Linked DNA regions of Macaca mulatta. The protein of the gene in region 1 interacts with the protein of each later gene in a biochemical or structural test. Links are inferred from orthologs where the notes say so. Each region holds a gene or a part of one and is shown on either strand. Other genes may lie near its edges.

Region 1 (3,822 bases):
GCTCTTTTCTGCTAGGAAATGACTCTGTCTCCACACTGTCTCCGCCCGGCAGATGCCTCGTGTTTGAAGACACAGCTGAAGCGCTGCCTTCTCTGTGAATTCAGGTCTTGTTTTCTCCAGGACCTAGAGGGCGAGTTTCCTCGTTCCCAGCCACGCTCCTCAGCGCGGCGTCTCCCCGGTCACTTGTCTCTGTGAGCTCCTCCAGGCACAGGGGCACAGACTGGGTGTTAGCTGTGTCTGTGACTACAGCCTGGTTTGCACGGCTTCGGGGACAACGCCTGCCTCGGCAATGTTTGTTGAATGACAAATGGATGTACCAGTAAAGCGGCTGGCCAGGTCGCACCACCTGTTGGTGGCTGATCTGAGACGAGAGCCCAGGTCTCCTGCCTCTCTGCCAGCTCATCTATCCATCCAACAAACGTTTGGGCCGGTGCCAGGCACTCAGAACCTAGAGCGGGACCTGGGATGGGCCACAGCGCCCTGCTCTGTGCCTCATCCCCACCCGACCCTCCCTTTCCAGAACAAATGTGTCCCATACTGGCCCGAGGTGGGCACTCAGCGCGTTTATGGGCCCTACTCTGTGACCAACTGCGGGGAGCATGACACGACCGAATACAAACTCCGCACCTTACACGTCTCCCCACTGGACAATGTGAGCGGCCCCCACTCCCTGCCCTGCTCCGGGAGTCCCTCCCGGACTTGTTCTCCTCTCTGGTGGGGTAGGGCGAGACAGGTGGGGTGTTCCGAGGGAGCAGGGGGCACTGACCCTGTGTCCTCGGCCCAGGGGGACCTCATTCGGGAGATCTGGCATTACCAGTACCTGAGCTGGCCCGACCATGGGGTCCCCAGTGAGCCTGGGGGTGTCCTCAGCTTCCTGGACCAGATCAACCAGCGGCAGGAAAGTCTGCCTCATGCAGGGCCCATCATCGTGCACTGCAGGTGAGGATGATAATCCTGATGGTAGTAGTGGCCGCTGAGAAGTAAATACTGCTAAGTGCCATGAGCGTTATAAGCAACATACACGTTAGCTCACACGATTAGTGCCTTCCGCTCACTCCCAGCTTCTTCTGGGTCCCCTCATGGCTCCAGACCCCTGGGTGGAACGTGGCTGGAACCAGCCCCACTTTGGCCCTCTGCCTGTGGTTGTCTTCCTCAGAGCCCTCCCCAGATGTACCATCTCGCCCAACCCTGCCAAATACAGAGGAGGAACCTGGGACCCAGTTGCTGGCCAGGCCCAAGCTAGGCAGGGCAAGGCCGGGCAGGCACCCACAGTAGGCCTGGGTCCTGGCTGCTCCGCTTTCTCTCCAGGTCTCACTCCGTTGGTTTCTTCTCGCCTCCCAGGAACATCCATGGGGCTTGTGCTCCCCGTTCCTCCTCTTTTTCCATCGGTAGACCCAGGGCTTTGGCTTGTTCCTGACTCCGCCCTCTCTCCCAGCTTCCCCAGGCGGCGCCCCATCCTGGCCCCCAGGGCTGTGTGGGGATGGACAATGCCTTTTTGGGGGTGCACATAGCTCCTCTATCTACCCTCATGTTTGTGATCAGGAGACCCTGGTAAGGTGCAGAGGTGGGGGCCTCAAGGAGGAGCAGGGGTCCCACAGATGAGCCCACTGAGCCCGCCTGGCCTGGGTGGATGAGAGGCAGCGGGTGCAGGGCCCCTCCGCTTACCAGCTGCGTGATCTTGGACAAATTACTTAACTTTTCTAACCCTCAGCTTCCTCCTCTGTAAAATCAGGACCTCAGGGTTGTAGTGAGAACTCAATGAGACCCTGTCGTTGCGGCTGGAATTCCGTCAGCCCTCAAACACGGGGCGCTGTTACTGGTTTAGTAACTCACGTCAGGCAGAGAATGGGGGAAATGAGAACCTGCCTTGCTCTGGTCCCTTCCCACTCCCACCGTGGACCCCAGGCCTGCGACAGTCTCTGGCTTCCTCCTCTTCCCCCAGCAGCTGTTTGTCCTGGGACAAGTCAGCTGAATCTAGAGGTGCCCCCGATGGGCTGTCTCGGGGACCCGGCTCTGTCCTCTGCTCTCTCAGAGACAGGCCCATCCCCGAGAGCTACCCTCCTGCTCACCCGCCACACACACATCACACACTTCTTGGAAGCCCCGTGGCCTTTATTTAGACGTTACAGGAAGGAAGTGGGTGTGGGGGGTTATTTTTGACAATCTGGGTTTGAAATTAGACAGTGCGACTCAGGGCATCAGCCTGATGGGCCCAGCCGAGGGTGGGCCTGGGGTCTCCCTGGCGTCTGTTTGCCCAGGGGTGGGAAAGAAGAGAAGCTTCCTACGGCCCTGCTCCTCCGAGCGCCCTGACCCGGCGCGCCTGCACCCTGCTGTCTCAGGGGTGTCCTTTTCCTGATGTCAGGGTTTGAAGAAAAACGAAGTGAACCGTGCTGAGAGACGCACCAGATCTCCTGCAGGGAGAGGCGGGGAGGGCTCAGGGTACCTGGGAGCCGACAGGATAGTGGTGGGATTTGGGGGTCCCAGGTCTTCCGGGGTGGGGGCAGCCACTCACCAGGAGTGGGGAGTCGGCGCGAGGAGTGGAGGAGGGAAGGATGGTGGCAGCCGGGGAGACGGCGTCAACACCACAGAGCCAGAGTGGAGCGCGCCCATGCAGAGCTGGGCAAACGTCCGTCGTCACTTGCCCGGTGACCCTGGGCACATTCCCTCCCATCACTGGAGGCTCAGGCTGCTCCTGTGGTGCCTGGGGCTGGAGCTGAGCACTGGGTACCCCCCTTCCCGGGAGGGCTTGACTGGCCTCTGACCGTACCCCCGTCTTTCCCCAGCGCCGGCATTGGCCGCACGGGCACCATCATTGTCATCGACATGCTCATGGAGAACATCTCCACCAAGGGTGAGGGGCACCTGGGGGCTTGGGAGTGGGGCTGAGCAGCCTCTCGGTGTCTGCCTATGCCTGGACCTGAGGTTTGACTGCCCCCCACCCAGGCTTGGACTGTGACATTGACATCCAGAAGACCATCCAGATGGTGCGGGCGCAGCGCTCAGGCATGGTGCAGACAGAGGCGCAGTACAAGTTCATCTACGTGGCCATTGCCCAGTTCATTGAAACCACCAAGAAGAAGCTGGAGGTCCTGCAGGTGTGTGCAGAGCAGGGCCTGGGGGGCTGCAGTGCGGGGCAGGCGCCACCTAGCCGTGCTGGGACCACCACCCTCCCACCATCCCTCTGTCCATAGTCGCAGAAGGGCCAGGAGTCGGAGTATGGGAACATCACCTACCCCCCAGCCATGAAGAACGCCCATGCCAAGGCCTCCCGCACCTCGTCCAAGTGAGTGGCCCTGACTGCCACTGCCCGGCATCCACCCCTTTGTCCTGCCCAACCCGATCCTCACTTTCTGGAGAGGACAAGTGTCACAACTGGGGGGGCCTGGCTTCAAGTTCAGGCTTGGGTCTCACCCTTTCTATTCATAAGCATTTCCCGAGTGCCCACCACGTGTGGGCCTCTGCTAGGTACCAGCCGTGCACTCCTGTATGAGATGTAGCCTCTGTCCTCTAGGAGCTTGGAGTCTAGTGCGGGGACAGTGGCTGGGTCGCCTGTGAGATGGGGTGGCCAGAGGGGGCTGCCAGTGCCGAGTCCCCCGCGCTGTCTCCTGACCTGCACCCACTGCCTGTACTTGCCCCCCTGCACCCCGCTGCAGACACAAGGAGGATGTGTATGAGAACCTGCACAGTAAGAACAAGAGGGAGGAGAAAGTGAAGAAGCAGCGGTCAGCAGACAAGGAGAAGAGCAAGGGTTCCCTCAAGAGGAAGTGAGCGGCGCTGTCCTCAGGTGGCCATGGTACAGTTCTTCTGCCTGGGTGTCCTCCC
Region 2 (4,357 bases), on another chromosome or scaffold:
AACGTAAGCTAAAATTAATGTGAAATACCAATGCTCAAGCATAGAACTATGCTTTGTGCATTTTGGCCTGCAACTCTTAACATTTTTTTTTAGACAAGACATTCTTTGTGTGTGTGTGTGTCTGTGTGTGTGTGTGTGTGTGTGTGTGTAAGAAAACATTTCTCAATATCAAGAATCACCCAAAAAATTATAGATGACCTTCAGAGTAAATGCCCATGTTTTTAAAATGACGCAGAAAATATAATAAACTTGAGCACTTTGTATATCCTCTCCTGTGAACCATGGTTACATTCAATTGTACATTCACTTCACTTTTGTCCCTCCAGGCCTTATGTCGGAACGTGTAGTACTTTCACTGGTCAAATTGGCAGACCGTGTCTCTCTTGCTGTTGCCACACATCAGCTGTGCCTTTCTCTGTAGGTGGTGAACGGAAGGCAACTCAACAAAGGAACAAACTGTCTATTCCTACTGCCAAACCCTGAAAGCAAGGAGCCCACACAAAAAGATAAGAATAAATAAAACTACAGTAAAATAAAATGGAGACTGCAATATTGGAAACAACTAAAATCAGTTTCAGTAGCAGAGAAATTAACAAATAAATTATGGTGGTACATTCATATAATGGAATACTCTAAAGATATTAAAGATTCTGTTTCTAAAAACATTTTAGGGTCTAGGGGAAAACTCACAATATAATGTAATGAAAAAGCTGGATGCATAACTGTGTGTAAATTATAGATATATATGTACACATATATACATGAGGAAAAATACTAAGAGAAAATTCAATCTAAAGGTTACTAGGGGTGGAATTATATGTTTTTTATTTTTCTCTAGTTCTTTATCTTATAAATATTTTATTTAAAATGTATATTCTTATTATAATTAGAAAAAAATTAAAATCTTTTTTAGAAAAGAAAATATTTAGTTTTCCATTTAGTAGTTGAAATATTTAGTAGTTCCATTCTTCCATTTTTATGTTTGGGTTACAAATATAAAAAACCAGAGCATGCAATTCTGTATTAAAAGCAATGAAGTCTTTGGCAAAGATTTATATAAAATACTAAACTTTTTTTAAAATGCTACTAACCATGGTAAGCCTAAGTAGTGTTTTAAACTACAGTTTAAATCAAAAGTGTATAAGCACAAGTTTCTTTTTTAATCTGTCACAGAATTCTACCTCCAACATTGTAGCATAATATAATGAGTACTATATTTAGTACTTGTATTATGTTTAAAAGTATGGCTGTAGATAGGGGCATATGTAAACTATCATGATATATTATTTGTCTTTAGACAGGAAGAGTGCATTTCTCTGTCTATAGAGTATTTGGTTTTTAAAGTTAATTCAGTAACTGTTTCAAGCACAACTAAATTACAACTGAAGAGATGGTACAATAGTTAGAGAAGGGATGACACCCAGAAATGAGAATGAAAGCATAAATTTCCATATAAAAAACTCACTAACTAAAATTACAAATGCACAAACAGAAATAAAGAAATGTACAAATAAGTATTGCTTTAAAATATAATATTATTTTACATGGCATCTGTATCTGCTTCCTTTTTTATCCAGCTTCCTACACAGCTGGAATTAGCAGGCATTATCCTATGGTCAAACCTATTTCATGTTTCAAGACAACTATTAATGACTTTGTAATAAATGAGTTTAAATAGAAATTTTCAAGTGTATAAAATTGGCAAAATTGATTCCATTTAAACTTCCTTTACCCAATCCTCTAGCCCAAAAAATATATGACCAGGTACCCTAAAGAAATAAAATAGCCTGCTTTATCTTCTGCAATTATAAGTGCTGCTAACTTATTTAAGAAAAACTAATCTATCTTGCGTTGTTGCTACCACTTCTCATAAGAAAACTGCTCATAAAGAGAAAACAATTATATCAGTTATAACAAGCTGAATTCTACATGTTCCAGTTCCTGCAAAGACAAATATTAGATTGCGAGACTTACCAGATTAGTTACAGACTTACCAGATTAGTTACACACGACTTTAGGCAGCTATTTAAAACTGTACACTGCACCACAGAAATCCATAGGCAGCCAAGAGTTGCAAAATTGACAAGTTTCGGAATAAGACAGTAAATGTTCTTCATCACTCCACCAATGGCAGATTTTTAGATGGCCGGTCTTCTAATTTTCTCCATTTTGCTGTATGAATTATTTGGGCTTCATCACTTCAATTGGAGGAGTAGCTGATGGATTTTGTTTTGTTTTGCTATATTAGGATATATTTGCCTTTTGAAATAACATTTAGCCTTTTTAGTTTAGACCTTTGAATCCTTGAAAGCTTGTAACAGTTCCATAAGAGTTATTTCATAATAGCTTCCTTTTACTCCCATAAAGAAAGTCACCCACTGATTAAAGGTTAGTTCTTAGAAGAGCACTTCACGTGGAAATTAAACAAAGAAAACGAATTGTATTTCAGCAAGGGTGTGACACATCCATAGTCTGAAACTGGAACATTTCAGTGGGTCGTCCACCACGTTACTTCTCTGAGCTCTTTTCAGCTCTGCAGGGAATTGGGTTTTGACCACGTATGCTTTAGCAAACAGTAGCACTACTATAATAAAGAATTATTGAAAAAATAGAGGCACCCAAATCAAGCAATGCAACTGAAAGAGAAAACAGAACTCAGAAGCCAAATACATATTTTTAAATTTAAGAGCAAACAAAGCTGAAATTAATAGAAAAATAGCCTGGGAGTGAGTTAAAAACAAGGAAGTTTGTTAGAGCACTCTCAGAACTTTACTACATATTAACTAAAATACTGCCTTATCAGGTCTATTGAGAAAGCTGAAACTAGTTACCAGAAACCTAAGATATGTTCAAGTGTCTGCCTTGAGAAGGAAACATTGTACAAGATTTCTTTCTTTCTTTCTCTTTCTTTCTTTCTTTTCCTTCCTTCCTTCCTTCCTTCCTTGCTTCCTTCCTTCCTTCCTTCCTTTCTTCTTTCTTCTTTCTCTTTTTCTCTCTCTCTTTCTCTCTTTCTTTCTCTCTTTCTTTCTGAGTCTCCCTCTGTCGCCCAGGCTAGAGTGCAGTGGCTGATCACGGCTCACTGCAACCCCTGCCTCCCAGGTTCAAGCAATTCTCCTGCCTCAGCCTCCAAGTAGCTGGGACTACCAGGCACACACCACCACGTCAAGCTAAGTTTTGTATTTTTAGTAGAGACGAGGTTTCACCATGTTGGCCAGAATGGTATCTATCTCTTCATCTCGTGATCCGCCCACCTCTGCCTCCCAAAGTACTGCGATTACAGGCGTGAGTCACCACGGTACACCAGGCCAACCTCCTTGTTTGCTTAAATAAATTATACTAAATGTAACTTAAACTTTTCTTAATGATATAAGGTTCTCATTATGAGTAACACATGCATGAGATTTTGTTTTGAGCTGAACGTCTTTTTTATTGGATTTTTGTTTGTTTTAATTTTGATGGGTACATAGTAGGTGCATGTATTTATGGGGCACAGGAGATGTTCTGAAACATCCATGTGCGATGTGAAATGAGCACATCATGAAGAATGGGGTGTCCATCCCCTCAAGCATTTATCCACTGAGTTGCAAACAATCCAAGTATGCTCTAAGTCATTTTAATATGTACAGTGATTATTGTCTATAGTCACCCGTTGTGCTATCAAATAGTAGGTCTTATTTACTCTTTCTGCATTTTTTGTACCCGTTAACTGTCCCCATCTCCCATTCCCCACTCCACCCACCACTACCCTTCCCAGCTCTGGCAACCATCCTTATACTCTCTTTGTCCATGAATTCAATTGTTTTGATTTTTAGATCCCACAAAAAAGTGAAAACATGCAATGTTTGCCTTTCGGTGCCTAGCTCAATTCACTTAACGTAATAATCTGCAGTTCCATCCATGTTGTTGGAAATGACTGAATATGGCTGAGTAGTTCTCCGTTGTGTATATGTACTACATTTTCTTTATCCATTCATCTATTGATGCACACTTAGGTTGCTTCCAAATCTTAGCTATTGTAAACAGTGCTGCAATAAACATTGGCATGCAGGTATTTATTTGATATACTGATTTTCTTTCTTTTAGGCATATACCCAGCAGTAGAATTGCTAGATCATACGGTAGCTTAATTTTTAGTTTTTTGAGGAACCTCCAAACTGTTCTCCATAGTGGTTGTATTAATTTACATTCTCATCAAAAATGTACAAGGGTTTCCTTTTCTCCACATCACCACCAGCATTTGTTATAGCCCGTCTTTTGGATATAAGCCACTTTAACTGGGTAAGATGATATCCCATTGTAGTTTTGATTTGCATTTTCTGATGATTAATGATGTTAAACGCTTTTCATATGCCTGTTT
Region 3 (4,502 bases), on another chromosome or scaffold:
CTATGGGCATCTCCATGGTACTGAAGGAAACTTCAGTCCATGTGCCCAGAGTCCTCCTGTGGTGGCAGCAGGGTCCCCTTAACCATGATGCCCCCACCTGGCTTGGGCAGGTGCCTGACAAGCCCTTCTGCTCTCCCGTCAGAGAGAGGATGGCTGCCAAAGGGCCAAGTCCCTGCCCGCCGCCTTCCCCCTTCATCCCCGCACAGGCCTGACACTACACCCACTGCTGCTCTTCCCTGGCCCGCCTCCCACCTTTCCCCCGCCACTGGGGCACTGTTATCAGGAGGCATTCCAGGACTGGCTGAGAACAGCTTCCACCCTGGGCCCTTCTGAGCGGATGTGATCACTGATAGGATGCCCTGCTGGGGCCTCCTTTAAGGAATGGGCTCTGGGGTACGAGACGGTGGAACCCAGATAGTCTGGGTTTGCCTCCCAGTGCTGTGTCTTATGAGCTGTGTGACATCAGGCAAGCAGCTCCACCTCTCTGTGCTTCAGTTTCCTCATCTGCAAATCAGGGCCCGCCACAGAGGGCTGGGGTGGTTCACTGAGTTCCTAAGCATGGTGCGCGCCACCCAGCAACACCGTGATGGTGACGCTGTAGCTGTTGTTATCCTCTGAGGATCAACCATCCCTCCTCCTTGTGGGGCCCCTGGTTTATTTGGCCTCTGTGTCCACCCCCTGATGAGGGCATGGCCGGAGGACCCCTCTGGACTTTCTCTTCTCCAGGTCTAGAGGACAAGGAGAGGGTGAAGCTGAGAGAGGCTATGTTCAGAAATTGGGAACCTGCTGTGTGATCTTGGATGGCCCCTCTCCCTTTCTGAGCCTCCATTTCCCGGCCTGCTCTATGAGCCTGTGGACCTGGCCCCTCGTTATCCCTGTCACGATACTTTCTGTAGTTCCTCCCTCGGCCAGCCCAGCTACATGGCTTTTGACTGTCTTTCCCACTATGGCATCAGTAGGTGCTCAGCTAAGCCTTGTTGGAGGAGCCTGGCAGTGCACCATTGAGTGACTGTCCAGGGCTTTCCCACTCCTGGCCTTTTGCTTGTGTGGCCCCCTTTGCCAAGAATGTGGCCCCCATTCATCTCTACTTGTGGAAATCCTTCTTGTCCTCGAAGCCCTTCGCAAATGCTGCCTCCCCCAGGAAGCCTTTCCCAGTTTCTCCCAGCCAGAGGGGATGCTGGTCCTTGGAACACTTGCTCTGAGGCTCTCTGGTGGTCCCTGTTACAGTGCACTGCAGTGTCCATAGTTACAGATGAATGGCAAACAGGGACTGTGCACTTACTAGGAGCCAGGCAGCGGGGGGGGGGCCCTGAGCTTGTGCTGTCTTATTTCATCTTCCACACCAGCCTTGCAAGGTGGATATTAATCCTATTATCCCTCCCTTTACAGAACAGAGAACAGAGGCTCAGAGAAGTGAAGCAACTTGGCCAGCTATGAGAGACAGAGCCAGGATTTGAAACCAGGTAAGTTTGTGTTTTTTCTTTAAAAAGGAAAGAAAAAACATCACACACACACACACACACACACACACACACACATACACACACACACGACAGGGAAAAGTAAGTCTCTCTCACACCCAGGTCTCCTTGCCAGAGTCAACCACTTGAAAAAATTTCTGGTGTATCCTTCCAGGGAGATCCAGGCATATATAAGCATGTATATTAACAATTTTTTTAGCATAATGTGAATTTCAATAATGATGGGAATGCCAGGTGTTGATATTTTTAGCTTCCGCACTTGACTCAATATTACACATTTGCAAAGAATTTTGTTTTTTTCTTAGGGTCTTACTCTGTTGCCCAGGCTGTAGTGCAGTGTCACAATCATGCTTACTGAGGCCTCGAACTCCTGGGCTCAAACGATCCTCCCACCTCAGCGTCCCAAGGAGCTGGGACTGCAGGGAAATGCACCACACCCAGCTAATTATTTATTTTTTTGTAGAAGCAGAGTCTCACTATGTTGCCTAGGCTGGTCTTGAATGTCTGGGCTCAAGCAGTCCTCCTGTCTTAGCCTCCCAAAGTACTGGGATTATAGGTGTGAGCCATCACCCCCAGCCGGAAATTTTTTTCTCTTTTTTAGATAAATGATAGCACACAGTCTACCCTGTCCTCAACTGACTTTTTTCTCTTGACAGTGTACCTCAGAGGTCATTTATTTGTGCTGCATTTTTCTTGTTCATGGTTGCGTAGTATTCCACTGCATGTACGGTGGTCACACTGTACTTAACTAAGGACAGATATTTTGGTTGTTTCCAGTCTTTTGCTTGTTCTAGGCAATTCCACAAATGAATATCCTCAATCATATGCCTTGTGTTTGTGTGTTCTTTTAGGATTAATTCCACACTGCAGGGTCAGTGGGTGTGTAATTGTGATAGGTATTGCCAAATTGTCCTTCAGAGAGATTGCGCTGGTGTCCCCACACCCTCTGTTCTCCTCACTCTCACCAGCATAGGATGTTACCAAATTTGGGGATAAATTGCATAAGTGCAATTTGCCGAGCTGATAGGTGAACAGTGGCCCCCAGTGTAGTTTATTTGAAAAATGTGTATCACAGCTTTACTGAGATAAAATTCACATAGCATACAATTTATCTATTTAAAGTATACAATTCGGTGGTTTTTAGTAGAGTCACAGAGTTGTACAATCGTCACCACAGTCAAATTTAGAACATTTTCATTACCCTACAAAGAAACTTTACCCATTACAGTTACTCCCCACTTCCCCCTAAACTTCCCTCCCCTAGACCTAGGCGGCAACTAATCTAGTTTCTGTTTCTATAGATTTGCCTATTCTGGGCATTTAATAGAAATGAAATCATTCAAGTGTACTCTTTTGCGGCTGACTTCTTTCACTTAGCATAATGTTTTCAAGATTCACTCATGTTGTAGCATGGATCAATATTTCATTCTTTTTTTCTTGCCAAATAATATTCTATCATATGGATATACCATATTTTATTTATCCATTCATCAGTTGATGGACATTTGGGCTTTCTGGCTATTACGGGTAATACTGTTCTGGACATTCATGTGCAAGTTTTTGTGTAGACATATGTTTTTCATTTCTCTTGAGTGTGTACCTACGAGTAGAATTGCTAGATCATATGGTAATTCCATGTTTAACTTTCTGAGGAACTGCCAGATTGTTTTGCAAAGCAGCTGCACCATTTTACATTCCCATCAGCAATGTCTGAGGGTTCCAGTTTCTCCACATCCTTGCCAACATTTGTCTTTTAGATTCTAGTCATCCGTCCTAGTGTCTGTGAAGTGGCATCTCATGGTGGTTCTGATTTTTTTTTTTTTTGGACAGGGTCTCAGTCTGTTGCCGAGGCTCACTGCAGCCTCAAACTCTTGGGCTCTAACAATCCTCTCATCTCAGCCTCCTGAGCAGCTGGGACCAAAAGTGTGTGCCACCACACCTGGCTCAGGCCCTTTTTTTTTTTTTTTTAGTTTGTAGAGATAGGGTCTCACCGTGTTGCCCAGGCTAGTCTTGAACTCCTGGGCTCAAATGATCCTCGCACCTCGGCCTCCCAAAGTGCTGGGTTTACAGGCATGTGCCACTGTACTCAGCCGTTTTGATTTTTATTTCCCTAATTACTAGTGACATTAAGCATCTTTTCATGTGCTTATTGGCCACTTGTATATCTTCTTTGGAGGAATGTCTATTCAAGTTCTTTGCCTACTTTTATTATTAATGTAATCTATTTTTTTTTTGTCTTAGCAACAAGGTCTCACTATGTTGCCCAGGCTAGTCTAGAAGTCCTGGCCTCAAGTGATCCCCCTGCCTCAGCCTTCCAAGTAGCTAGGACTATAAGCGTGTGCCACCATGCCTGGCTTAATTTTTTTTTAATTTTGTAGAGATAGGATCTTACTCTGCCACTCAGGCTGGAGTGCAATGGTGTGATCATAGCTGACTGTAACCTCAAATTCCTGGGCTCAAGCAATCCTCCCATCTCAGCCTCCTGAGTAGATAGGACCACAGGCATGCAACACCACGCCCGGCTAATTTTTTTTTTTAATTTTTAGTAGGGGTCTCACTATGTTTCCGAGGCTGGTCTCAAGCTCCTGGCCTCAAGAGATCCTCCTGTCTTGGCTTCCAAAGCACTGGGATTACATGCATGAGCCACTGTAAGAGATATTTATATATTGTAGATACAAGTATATGATTTACAAATATTTTCTCCTATTCTGTGGGTTGTCCTTTTACTTTCTTGATGTTGTTCTTTGGAAAACAAAAGTTTTTTGTTGCTGGATCCAGTTTTCTAGTATTTTGTAGAATATTTATATGTATGTAATACATATATTCATTTTCATAAAAGTTACTGGTCTGTAATTTTCTTTTCTTGTGATGTCTTTGTGTGGTTATGGGATCGGGTAATACCGGCTTCAGAAAATGAGTTGGGAAGTATTTCCTAGAGAAGAACTGGTATTATTTCTTCTTCAAATATTTGGTAGAATTCACCAGTCCAGCTATCTGGGCCTGGGCTGCTTCTGTGAGAAA

The links. The genes of interacting proteins can lie anywhere in the genome.
Region 2: of the proteins of PTPN6 (region 1) and ROS1, one has a biochemical effect on the other in vitro, tested with the Homo sapiens proteins (2 studies listed by BioGRID and IntAct). The link is inferred for Macaca mulatta from reciprocal best matches to the Homo sapiens genes PTPN6 and ROS1.
Region 3: of the proteins of PTPN6 (region 1) and SRC, one has a biochemical effect on the other in vitro, tested with the Homo sapiens proteins (2 studies listed by BioGRID). The link is inferred for Macaca mulatta from reciprocal best matches to the Homo sapiens genes PTPN6 and SRC.

Annotation. Positions count from the first base shown.
Region 1 is NC_133416.1:7,930,434-7,934,255, forward strand, and holds part of PTPN6 (tyrosine-protein phosphatase non-receptor type 6), read left to right. Parts: intron 1-520; coding exon 521-652; intron 653-784; coding exon 785-939; intron 940-2,783; coding exon 2,784-2,851; intron 2,852-2,943; coding exon 2,944-3,095; intron 3,096-3,191; coding exon 3,192-3,283; intron 3,284-3,653; coding exon 3,654-3,768; 3' UTR 3,769-3,793; intron 3,794-3,822. UniProt on the Homo sapiens protein: Tyrosine phosphatase enzyme that plays important roles in controlling immune signaling pathways and fundamental physiological processes such as hematopoiesis.
Region 2 is NC_133409.1:22,413,910-22,418,266, forward strand, and holds the start of ROS1 (proto-oncogene tyrosine-protein kinase ROS), read right to left. Parts: upstream 3,117-4,357; 5' UTR 2,118-3,116; coding exon 1,995-2,117; intron 1-1,994. UniProt on the Homo sapiens protein: Receptor tyrosine kinase (RTK) that plays a role in epithelial cell differentiation and regionalization of the proximal epididymal epithelium. NELL2 is an endogenous ligand for ROS1.
Region 3 is NC_133415.1:90,223,943-90,228,444, forward strand, and holds the start of SRC (proto-oncogene tyrosine-protein kinase Src), read left to right. Parts: upstream 1-1,386; 5' UTR 1,387-1,463; intron 1,464-4,502. UniProt on the Homo sapiens protein: Non-receptor protein tyrosine kinase which is activated following engagement of many different classes of cellular receptors including immune response receptors, integrins and other adhesion receptors, receptor protein tyrosine kinases, G protein-coupled receptors as well as cytokine receptors.